Canis lupus familiaris: one gene and its partners. The protein of the gene in region 1 interacts with the protein of each later gene in a biochemical or structural test. Links are inferred from orthologs where the notes say so. Each region holds a gene or a part of one and is shown in the gene's direction. Other genes may lie near its edges.

The links.
Region 2: the proteins of DHX9 (region 1) and AKAP8L form a complex in vitro, tested with the Homo sapiens proteins (2 studies listed by BioGRID). The link is inferred for Canis lupus familiaris from reciprocal best matches to the Homo sapiens genes DHX9 and AKAP8L.
Region 3: the proteins of DHX9 (region 1) and EIF2AK2 form a complex in vitro, tested with the Homo sapiens proteins (2 studies listed by BioGRID, with this or other methods). The link is inferred for Canis lupus familiaris from reciprocal best matches to the Homo sapiens genes DHX9 and EIF2AK2.

Annotation. Positions count from the first base shown.
Region 1 is NC_049228.1:16,147,197-16,150,848, forward strand, and holds part of DHX9 (ATP-dependent RNA helicase A), read left to right. Parts: intron 1-388; coding exon 389-580; intron 581-3,652. UniProt on the Homo sapiens protein: Multifunctional ATP-dependent nucleic acid helicase that unwinds DNA and RNA in a 3' to 5' direction and that plays important roles in many processes, such as DNA replication, transcriptional activation, post-transcriptional RNA regulation, mRNA translation and RNA-mediated gene silencing.
Region 2 is NC_049241.1:47,209,191-47,212,817, forward strand, and holds the end of AKAP8L (A-kinase anchor protein 8-like), read left to right. Parts: intron 1-2,459; coding exon 2,460-2,555; intron 2,556-2,637; coding exon 2,638-2,955; 3' UTR 2,956-3,030; downstream 3,031-3,627. UniProt on the Homo sapiens protein: Could play a role in constitutive transport element (CTE)-mediated gene expression by association with DHX9. Increases CTE-dependent nuclear unspliced mRNA export.
Region 3 is NC_049238.1:29,682,716-29,686,367, reverse strand, and holds part of EIF2AK2 (interferon-induced, double-stranded RNA-activated protein kinase), read left to right. Parts: intron 1-2,820; 5' UTR 2,821-2,833; coding exon 2,834-2,952; intron 2,953-3,335; coding exon 3,336-3,456; intron 3,457-3,652.

The DNA of each region.
Region 1 (3,652 bases):
TACGTTGTTTTATGAAAATATATATTTTTGAGTATGAAGCCAGTGGGAAGGAATGTTTTCATAGAGATGGGAAATTTTTTTTTAGGATTAAGACAGTCGCTTCTAATGTATATGTTGGTAAAACTTCGACTGCTGTGGAGCTTTTCTGAAACAGATCTTAGGGGAGCGCCTGGGTGGCTTACCTGGTTGGGTGTCCTGACTCTTGGTTTTAGCCCAAGTTACAATCTCAGGGCCATGAGACTGAGCCCCATGTTGGGCTATGTGCTCAGCGCGGAGTCTACTTAAGATTCTCTCCCCTTGCCCTGCCCTCTCCCCAGCCCCACACCTCCACACACACACTCTCTTACTCTCTTCTCTCTCCTCTTTCTCTCACCCCCCCAAAAAAAAGATCTTACAGGAGAGAGAGTTGCTGCCTGTGAAGAAATTTGAAAGTGAAATCCTGGAAGCAATTAGTCAAAATTCGGTTGTCATTATCCGAGGTGCTACTGGATGTGGTAAAACCACACAAGTTCCACAGTTTATTCTAGATGACTTCATCCAGAATGACCGAGCAGCAGAGTGTAACATTGTAGTAACTCAGGTAAGTAGTGAGCCAGCTTACAAGGGGGGTGTCTGGTGTTGATAGAGTTTGAGAGGTGGAAACACCTAGAGGCCAGGCTATTTCTAGTTCTTTGTAACTCCCCTTTGTAGCCACATTAGGCCCTTTAAATTTTTTTTTTTTTTTTAAAAGAAGTTAAGTCTGGTTCTAATCTCCTTCACTGATAAGCTGAACTGAACCATGTAAATGATTCTTCTTGTCTGGGCTAGAGGTAATCTTTGGTCCTAGAATCAGACAAGACTGAGAATATTTTTTCCTTAAGTTAATATGTAAATGTTGGTCCTCTCCATCTTAAGATCCACCTTACTACTCAGAGCAAGAGTAGGCAAGCCAACAAAACAGGTAATGGTTGACTCTAACTGAATGCTTTATGTATGCCAGGTTCTATTTGAAACAGTTGGTATTTTCTAAACTCATTTGAAGTTTATTATGACTCTAAGATGTACATATTTTCTTATTTAGTATTTCTCCTTCATTAAACTAAGGCACAAAGAACTAAATAAATTGCCCAAGTTATTAACACAGGAAGTAGTGGAACTAGGATTCAAAACCAAACGATTTGCTTCATTTAACTACTACATTGTATTACCTTACCAGCAATAAGTGATGCATGTGAGTTTGTCCCAGAGCTTAGGGAAGAACTAATTAGCCCTTTCAAGCCTTGGGTTGAAGCAGTTCCCGTCCATTCTAACCCTGTACTTCTGGCACTTAGAAGGAGAACACTATATAGAAAGAAGCCAGATACCACCTCTTAGGCAGCCTCAGACCTTGACTTAGGGACTCTTAACCTGGGACACATAGCTGATACTTGGGGAGGAGTTGTGAACCTCAAAATAGCAAAATTTTAAATTTAAAAATTTTTGAAATTGATGTAGATCTTGATTGTTGTCTTATGTTTGATATAAGAGTTGGGTTTTTTGGGACACTTGGGTGACTCGGTGGTTAAGCATCTGCCTTTGGCTCAGGGTGTGATCCCAGAGTCCTGGGATCAGGTCCCCACATCAGTCTCCCTGCATGGAGCCTGCTTCTCCCTCTGCCTATGTCTCTGCCTGTCTCTCTCTTTGTCTCTCATGAATAAATAAATTAAAAACCTTTAAAAAAAAAAAAAGAATTGAGCTTTTTGACTTAAAAAATTACGGATTATTGAAAGAATGGATGTTGCATTTAAATCAATGGCATTTTAGGCTTAAAAAATATCATAGGTCTACGTTGTTCTGGGAAAGGACTCTTTTTTTTTTAAATATTTTATTTATTTATTCATGAGATACACACACACACACAGAGAGAGAGGCAGAGACACAGGCAGAAGAAGAAGCAGGCTCCGTGCAGGAACCCCGACATGGGACTTGATCCCGGGACTCCAGGATCACGCCCTAGGCCGAAGGCAGGCGCTAAACCGCTGAGCCACCCAGGGATCCCCTGGGAAAGGACTCTTAACTTTCTTCTTAAAATGTTTGATTGCAGGGGATCCCTGGGTAGCTCAGCGGGTTAGTGCCTGCATTCGGCCTAGGGCGTGATCCTGGAGTCCCGGGATCGAGTCTCATATCAGGCTCCCTGCATGGAGCCTGCTTCTCCCTCTGCCTGTGTCTCTGCCTCTCTCTCTCTCTCTCTCTCTCTGTATCTCTCATGAATAAAAAAATTAAAAATCTTTAAAAAAATGTTTGCCCTTCCCATTCCCAAAACTGGCTATGAATCCTTTGCCTGATAGTGAAATTTCCAGCACCCAGTACTGTGACCAATAAAATGTCCTTGGTCTTTGTTTTGTTGTTTTTTGTTTGTTTTGTTAATATCTTTGCTCTTAATGTTTACCTGTCTTATAGGAGGTATATTTTTCAGGAAGGTGTATTGTTTAGAAGAGGAATCTTGAACTCTGCTCTGCCCTCCTTCCTTACTGCCACTCACCCTTTTCATCTCAAAAAACAGTTCAGTCATATAGGAAGAGATGCAGAATTCAGCAGATGAGCTGAAAACTTGTCTTCTCACTCAGAAGTTGATCACATGTCATGAGTAGAATAAAAGTCATTTCCTGTTGAAGTGAGAAGCTGTTTTTTTCACTAGCCATCTAATAGATATCAAAGCCAAGTTAGTTGATCTAGCCAAAAATGGCTTTTGTATAAACACTTTTTAACTTTCACTAGGTTGTGTCCTTTTCCAAATAATTTGGTCATTTCCACTGGTTTTATCTGTGAAATGCACAGGTTTTAATATATAGGCTATAACAAATGTTAATGAGTTACAGAATGGTATTCTGCTTCTTTGCATAAGAACACAGCTTTCACTTCTATTAGTCCTCTTTTATTTATATTCTTTCATAAAGTGATAGAATCATAAAGTTGAAAGATGCTTTGGAGAATTATTCCATCTTTTTCTCTGGGTGGAATGTTTATTATAGATGGTCACTTAACTTATGCTTGAAAATTTCCATTTGTGGGATGCCTGGGTGACTTAGTGGTTGAATGTCTGCCTTTGGCTCAAGGGTGATCCCAGGGTCCAGGATTGAGTCCTGCATCAGGCTCCTTGTTTACTGGGTAGTCTGGTTCTGCCTCTGCTTGCCCTCCCTTCACTCCCTCCTACCCCCACTTCTGTGTGCTCTCTCTTTCTTTGTCTGACAAGTAAAATCTTTAAAAATAATTTTCCGTCTTATGCACATGCTGTTATTCTTAAAGGATGGAGATTTTTAAAGACTGTTTCTAACATTTTGGTATTATATATACTGAGATGAACATACTTGCACCTAAATCTTTATGTATTCCTTTGATTATTCCATTGAAATAAATTCACAAACATGGAATTTTTGGGTCAGATGATATACATATTTTAACTTTTTTTTTTAATATTCCATTTATTTATTCATGAGAGACACGGAGAAGAGAGAGGCAGAGACGTAGGCAGAGGGAGAAGCAGGCTCCATGCAGGGAGCCCAACCGGGATCATGTCCTGGGCTGAAGGCAGCACTAAACCGCTGAGCCACCTGGGCTGCCCCTATATTTTAACTCTTAATGCACTTGGCTCTATACTCACCTTAGGAAAAATCCCATCAAATTATTTATGAAT
Region 2 (3,627 bases), on another chromosome or scaffold:
AGGTGGCACTAAACCGCTGAGCCACCTGGGCCGCCCTATGTTGTAGAACTAAAAGTCTAACAACAGTCCAGAAAATTATAGAAAGAGTGATAGTTGAGTTTAAGGAATTGGTTTAGCAGATAAAATATTTTTTCAAAGCCACTGCAATTAAAAATGAAGAGCGATACTGGCATAGTAATACAGTGGTGGAACCAGAATAGAGTCTAATGAAGGTTCCCAGTATGTTTTGGAACTTAGTAATTATCAAAGTCAGCACAGGTTCCTTATCTGAAACCCTAGGATGATCACTAACATCCCTAGGTGGGACCTGGGAAGGTGACTTATAGCCGAACCATCAGTAATGCCTCAAATGACTTATATAAGTGGTATAAATAAAGACGGCTCAAAAACACAATGGAGTTTTAGGGGAAAACTTTTTCCTTCTGGATTTCAGATTTGTGGAGAAGGGATTATTATAGACCTGTATGTCAATTTAATGGAGAAAGCAGTTTATCTCACAAATTTCTGAACAAGAAAGCTGGACCTTTAATCTCCTGCAATATATTTAAATTCCAGAAATAATAAATGTGAAAAATAAAAGAGCAAAATTTAGATTGTTTACCTTGAGGTTGCAGAAAGCCTTCCTGAGCAAGCCAGGAAACCCAGAGGTCGTGGAGAAGATGACCTCCTAGAAATGCTGGGCAGGTGGCCCCATGTGCGTATCAGATCTCTGAGATTCGCTGGTGGGCAGGGAAATGCCACAAGAGGATGCATACATTATTTTCTTTCCTTCAACTGCAAAAGTACCCAACAGTGGGAACATCTGATGCTGCTGAGGAGGCAAAAGGATAAGTACATTGTTTTAATACAGGTGGAGGAAGCCCGACTTACTACTACAACGTACTACAACTTTTTTGCAGAGTACTGAGACACCATCACTTTGGGGAACCTGTTGGGTAGCACCAACATGGAAGTATTTAAGTTTATTCTGGTGGCGTTTGGTTCTTGTAGCAAAAATCTGGAAACCCTGTAAGTGGGCTTCCCTTGGGAGTTGCATGTACATCTCTGTGCTGACAGGAAGGAGGATCATGTGTTGGCAAGTGATGAGCTGCAGATGAAATGATCTGACCTAGCATCCTAATTGTGCATCTTTAACTTGTTTCATTTTAAGCATGTATGAGGACTATCCCTATTTTCCCCAAATAGTAAAGAAAATGAGTAAAGAAAAAGTGAAGGTGGGGAAACAGAATAGAAACAGCAAGTGACAGGATGATAATAAAGAGTTGGCTGGGATGCGGCAGCAGGGTTCCTGGGGGTGGGGCTCCCCCATGCCAACAGAAATAGCCTTCATCTTCCAGCTTGTGGCTTTATATATGCATTATCTTCATACTGACAAAAGTGAGATTTGTCTGTACTTCCACCATTGAGGAAAACCACTTAGCATTTCAGTGTAAATCCTTCCAGACAAAAGGCTCTGGCATGCTATGCATACTGCCTTTCTCAGCACACAGAGGGAGATAAGCCCTATTTTTAAAATAAAATCTTATTTGAGAGTGCATGCACCATTGGTGGGGAGGAGCAGAAATAGAGGGAGACTCCCTGCCGAGCACAAAGTCCCACATGGGTCAAGATCCCAGGATCATGACCTGAGCTGAAGTCAGATGTTTAACCAACTGAGTCACCCAGGGGTCCCAGAAATGAGCCCTGTTTTAAGGACTGCATGTTGTTCTTTTGAATGTATGATTTATTTAACTACACAGAACTTTTAGGTGTTTTCCAGTTTTTCTGCAACTATGTGCATGAATGTTTCCAAGTCTTAGGATAGATTCTTATTCCTGTAAAGAATTACTGAGACAAATTTTTGAGACAAACTTAATTTTGATACATTTTATCAAACTGCTTTCCAAAAAGTAAACAGTTGACCTTGTCACCGTCAGGGTAGGAACCCTCTTTTCACCCTTGCCATTTAGGGTATAATTCTTCATCCTCGGAATTCTATGAGTTAAAAGGAGGTATTTCACTTAAATGTACTCTTTGACATTTGTATTCCAGATCATATCCTCCCTGTTGATTCTAAAGAGTTCCTTGCGTATGGGCAGTTGGCTTCTTGATAATAGGTTGCAACTTTGGCTTTTAGTAGGTTTCCTAATTTGTTCACTGTTTGTAGTTTTTATGTAAGCACATCAGATTTCTGCTGTACAGCTGTAAAGACATATGTCTTTAATCAATTGCATACAGTACGTATGATGTGGAAGAATGGAGCATTCGAGCAAAGATCAGATCAGGTCTTAGCTCCGTGCTTGTAGAGTGGCCCTACGCTTGTACCCAAGGTACACTTGTACACCTACATCACGTGGTTAGAGTGCTTGGCTGTGCTGAGCCCAGGGGTTTGGGAGGGCTCCGCAGATCTAGTGGCGTGTGGGAGGGGGGCTTTCTGGCGCCCAGAGCAGCCTCTCCAGCCCTGCCTGCCTTGCCTGCAGCTCATGATGGAGCAGTCCAAGAAGTCCTCGCTCATGGTGGCCCGCAGCATCCTCAACAACAAAATCATCAGCAAGAAGCTGGAGCGCTATCTGAAGGTGAGGTGCCCCGGCCCCCGGCCCCCGGCCTCCGGCTCCCGCGGGCCCTCGCTCCCTTCAGTGTCCGCTTCCCTCCCCACAGGGTGAGAACCCGTTCACCGATAGCCCCGAGGAAGAGAAGGAACAGGAGGAGGCCGAGGGCGGCCCCCTGGACGAGGGCGCGCTGGTCGAAGCGGCAGGGGGCGCGGAGGGTGTAGAGGGCGCGCCGGCGCAGCCCCCCGTGCCCCCGGAGCCGGCCCCCGGGGCCGCGTCTCCGCCACCGCCACCGCCCCCCGAGGAGGAGGAGGAGGAGGCCGTGCCCCTGCTGGGCGGGGCGCTTCAGCGCCAGATCCGCGGTATCCCGGGCCTCGACGTGGAGGCCGACGACGACGAGGAGGAGGGTGGCGGGGGCGCACCGTAACCCGGGCCCCGGGCGGGCAGGACCCGCGTGCCCAAGGCTGGAAGCTGAGCCTAATAAAGCTCTTCCCGTCCCATCTCTTTCTCCTTCGTTTGTTGGTATGCGGCACCATCGGCATAGGAAGGAATGGCGTGCGCCTGCGCGCGGGGCCCGGGGGAGGGTGGGGGTGCGCCTGCGCACTGGCGGCGGGAAGGAAGAGGGAAGCGCCTGCGCGCAGTAAGACTGCGTGATCGGACCAAAACTCCCAAGATGCTGTAAAAGCTGAGCCCAAGCAACCGGAAGGCCCGCTGGGGCGACAGGGGCGGGTGCGCAGTGAAAGCCAGCCAATGGTGGGGCGCGGGGGGAGTGACGTATGCTCCTGGTCTTCCAGTAGCGGACGGCGGAAGGTGTGTTGAGCGCATGCGTCCTGTGGCAGCCTAGAAAAAGGGGCTGCTGGCGGGCCGAGCTGAAGACATGGAGCAGGGCTACGGAGGTTCGTGTGGGTGCCTCGGTGCGGGGTGGGGCGGACAGGCGCTGCTCAGGCGACGCAGCCGCTGGTGCGTACAAGGCTGCAGGCCGAGGCCTACAGCGGAGCGCGGTTACTCCAACCCGGCCGAGCGGAGAGGAGGCCGGGGCGCGCGCGCGCTGCTCATTGGACCTCGGCGCCGTCGCTCCCGGGGCGCTGCGTGCGGATTG
Region 3 (3,652 bases), on another chromosome or scaffold:
TAGTATCAGAATAATAATTTAGAACAGAAATCCAGGGGTGCCTCGGTGGCTCAGTCGGTTAAGCGTCTGCCTTCATCTCAGGTCATGATCCCAGCGTCCTGGGATCGAGCCCCACATCGGTTTCCCTGCTCAGTGGGGAGCCTGCTTCTCCCTCCACTCTGCACCCTCACTTGTGTTCTCTCGAGCACTTGCTCTCTCAAATAAATAAAAATCTTAAAACAACAACAACAACAAAAAAACAACAAAAAACCCCCCATTAGGGCAGCCCTGGTGGCGCAGCGGTTTGGCGCCGCCTGCAGCCTGGGGTATGATCATGGAGACCCGGGATCGAGTCCCGCATCGGGCTCCCTGTGTAGAGCCTGCTTCTCCCTCTGCCTGTGTCTCTGCCTCTCTCTCTCTGTGTCTATGAATAAAAAATAAATAAATAAATAAATAAATAAATAAATAAATAAATAAATAAAAAATAAAATAAAAATAAAAAAACCATTAATCCAATCACATCCCCTCTCTACTTAGAGAATGTCCAGTAACTTCCTATTGCAATTGGAATACCATCCATCAGTTGCGACCATGACCTATAAGATCTATACGCGCTGACCTCTCTGACTCACTTCCTGCTTTTTTCCCCCTCACTCACTATGCAGCCATCCCCTTGATCCCTTGATGTTTTTATTCTCCCTTCAAAGGCCATGGTGGTTACTGAGTTACTTTTCCCCCATATCTTGATATAATGGACTCATCATTCAGTCTTCATTTAAAATTGCCTCCTATGAAAGGTCTTTCCTGACCACTGTATCTAAAAACCACCTCCCTCATATCTCTGCCTCTACCTACCAACTCACCTTCTATGCCACACCCCTATCTAATTTCACAATAGCACTTCTGGCCATCTTATCATATTATCCACTCCCGTTATCTGTTTCTGTGCATGGCCATTTCCTGTCTTCCCTCAGGTCAGGTGTTCATTTGTCTTGTCCACATCTGTATACTCATTGTCAGAATGGTGCCTGGCACTCGATGAGTGTTTATTGAATAAATGAAGAAAGGATCCCCAGAAAATAGCAGATGAAGAAAAGGGAGCAGATGAGGGGGTTTCAAGTAGAGTATTTAGTTTTAACAGGTCATCCTTTCATTTTCCTATACACTATCCAAGTGTTGGACATTTACTACTTGTCACTGGGTATTGGTGATACAAAGATGAATAGGACGTGGAACCTGCTTCCCAAAAAGCTCACTGACTGGGCTGTTATGAGGGCTGAGCCAGGTGGAGTGGCAGGCCCTTGGAGGAGTACTGGCTGCCCCTCCAACATCAAAGAAAACTTGTCAGCCTCACAGATGAGTAGGAGTTGCCTGGTAGACAGAAGGTGTAGATACTGCATTCAGAGCAAAGCGAAAAGCATGTGACAAGTAATGCAGATGGAGGAAGGTCTGCTGATATTTTGGTATTCATTCATTGATTATTGACCCCCTATAATAACAGCCTGGCCCCCTCCCTCTTGTGGCTCATGGTCTCTTTTGGAAGATAGTCATTTATATAAGCAATTGCAGTAAAGTGAATAAGAGCTGTGATGGAGTGCCAAACAAGGACTTCTAGGGTCTCTGGGAAGGGACCTCTGAGCTGTGATCTCTAGGAAATGGGAGTTGACCAGGTGGAGGCAGTGGAAGGAGTGAAGTCAAGGAGGCAGCCTATTGAACAGAAACAGAGTCATGAAATAGTCAGGGGTAGAGGTGTTAATGATGGTGATAACCATCATTGTGTAGGTGAAATTTAAACCCATAAGTCTAGAGGTGATCACCAGGGGAGTGAGTGTTAGTAGAGCAGAGAGGAGATCTATAGATATCCTATTCTGTAAATTGTCTTTTCATTTTCTCCATAGTGTCCTATGTAACACAGATGTGTTTTTACTTTTGTTAAAGCCCAATCTATCTGTTTTCTTTTGCTGCTTGTGCTTTTGCTGTCATCGCAAAGATTCCATTGCCAAATCCAAGATTATGAAGATTACCCTTATTTTTTCTTCTAAGAGTTTTATAGTTTTGGCTTCTATATTTAGATTCTATATTTTTTTAGATTTTCATTATGACTTAAATCACTGCTACTCTCTTGGTCTAATAGACCCATAAATTGGGGTCATTATTTATCCAGGTAAAAGTGACTAATGCATATTTTAAAGGGAAGATTTTTGAGATTTCATTGGGGCATCTATTTCTATATAGTGAAATCTTCGATCATTTATAGACTTCACTTTATATGTATACTCTCAACCTTTTTTTTCTCATCATGAAGAATTCTGATTCTACTCGTGTAGCCTTTTTACCTTCTCACGCAGGTGGAGATACCTGTACCTGACACTCACTGGCAGCAGAGAGAAAAGTGGAAGAAAAAGACCCCTTTCCTTTTTTTGACCAGTTGAGTTTTGGAAGTAGAAAGTTTTGGAGAAATTAGCTTGGTGTGCAGTTCATGAGAGAAAAAGATTTTGTAAGACGTTTTCTCTGGATTTATGTGGGGCTGAAATGAGTCTATAAGAAAATTCTTGAGACGCTTGGGTGGCTCAGCAGTTGAGCGCCTGCCCTCGGCCCAGGGTGTGATCCTGGAGTCGGGGATCGAGTCCCGCATCGGGCTCCCTGCATGGAGCCTGCTTCTCTCTCTGCCTGTGTCTCTGCCTCTCTCTCTCTCTCTTCTCTGTGTCTCTCATGAATAAATAAGTAATTTTTTTAAAAAAAGAAAATTCTTCTGATCCTTTTTTGTCTCCTGCACTGAATTGGGAAAATGAGATTAAATATATTCTGTGTCACTTTTTTCAAACATCTCTTCTGTTCTAGGTTACTAGAGGAAATGGCCAATCAGCGTCCACCAAGTTTTTTTATTGAAGAACTTAATATATTCTGTCAGAAGCACAGAAAGGTACTTAAGTATAATGAACTGTCTAAGGAAGGACCTGCACATAACTTAAGGTAAATTTCTACTTTCTAAAGACTTTTTTAAAGCATTCTCAATACCCATTGTGGGTCTCAACCTGACAACCCTGAAATCGAGAATTGCATGCTCTACTGACTGAGCTAGCCAGGCACCCCAAATTGCTGTTTTTTTTTTTAAAGGTATAGCTGTATAAAATATGAACTGGAAGAATGGCAACTCTGGCATGATTTTGAAGTACATAATTAGCTCTAGAGCAAAGATGATGTGCTATTTGGCTGAGTGAGGGTGACTGCTTAAATTCTATATTGAACAGGTTAAAACCTTCAAGGTAGTTATGGGAGACAGTGTGATTGGAATACTTGTCTGTAGATAATGCAGGAATTTTATAACATTTTATGAATATTGCCTTTGTAATCAGATTTACATTCCAAGCTATCATAGATGAGAGAGAATATCCAGAAGCTGAAGGTAAATCAAAGAAGGAGGCCAGAAATACTGCAGCCAAATTAGCTCTTGAAATACTTCATAAAGAAAACAAGGTGAGTAAATGCCCCTTCTAACTTTACTTTGCAAGAAAACACACACAGAATAAAGCTATTCACAAGTACTTTTACATTCAGAAGTTGGGTCTTTTTCCTCCATCTCCTTTTCTGTAGAGCCTAGAGTCAGAGGTATATCTAGGAAGTAGTGGGCAAAGCCTGAAAATTACCTCTTTAGAATGCCAGCACTAAAGAC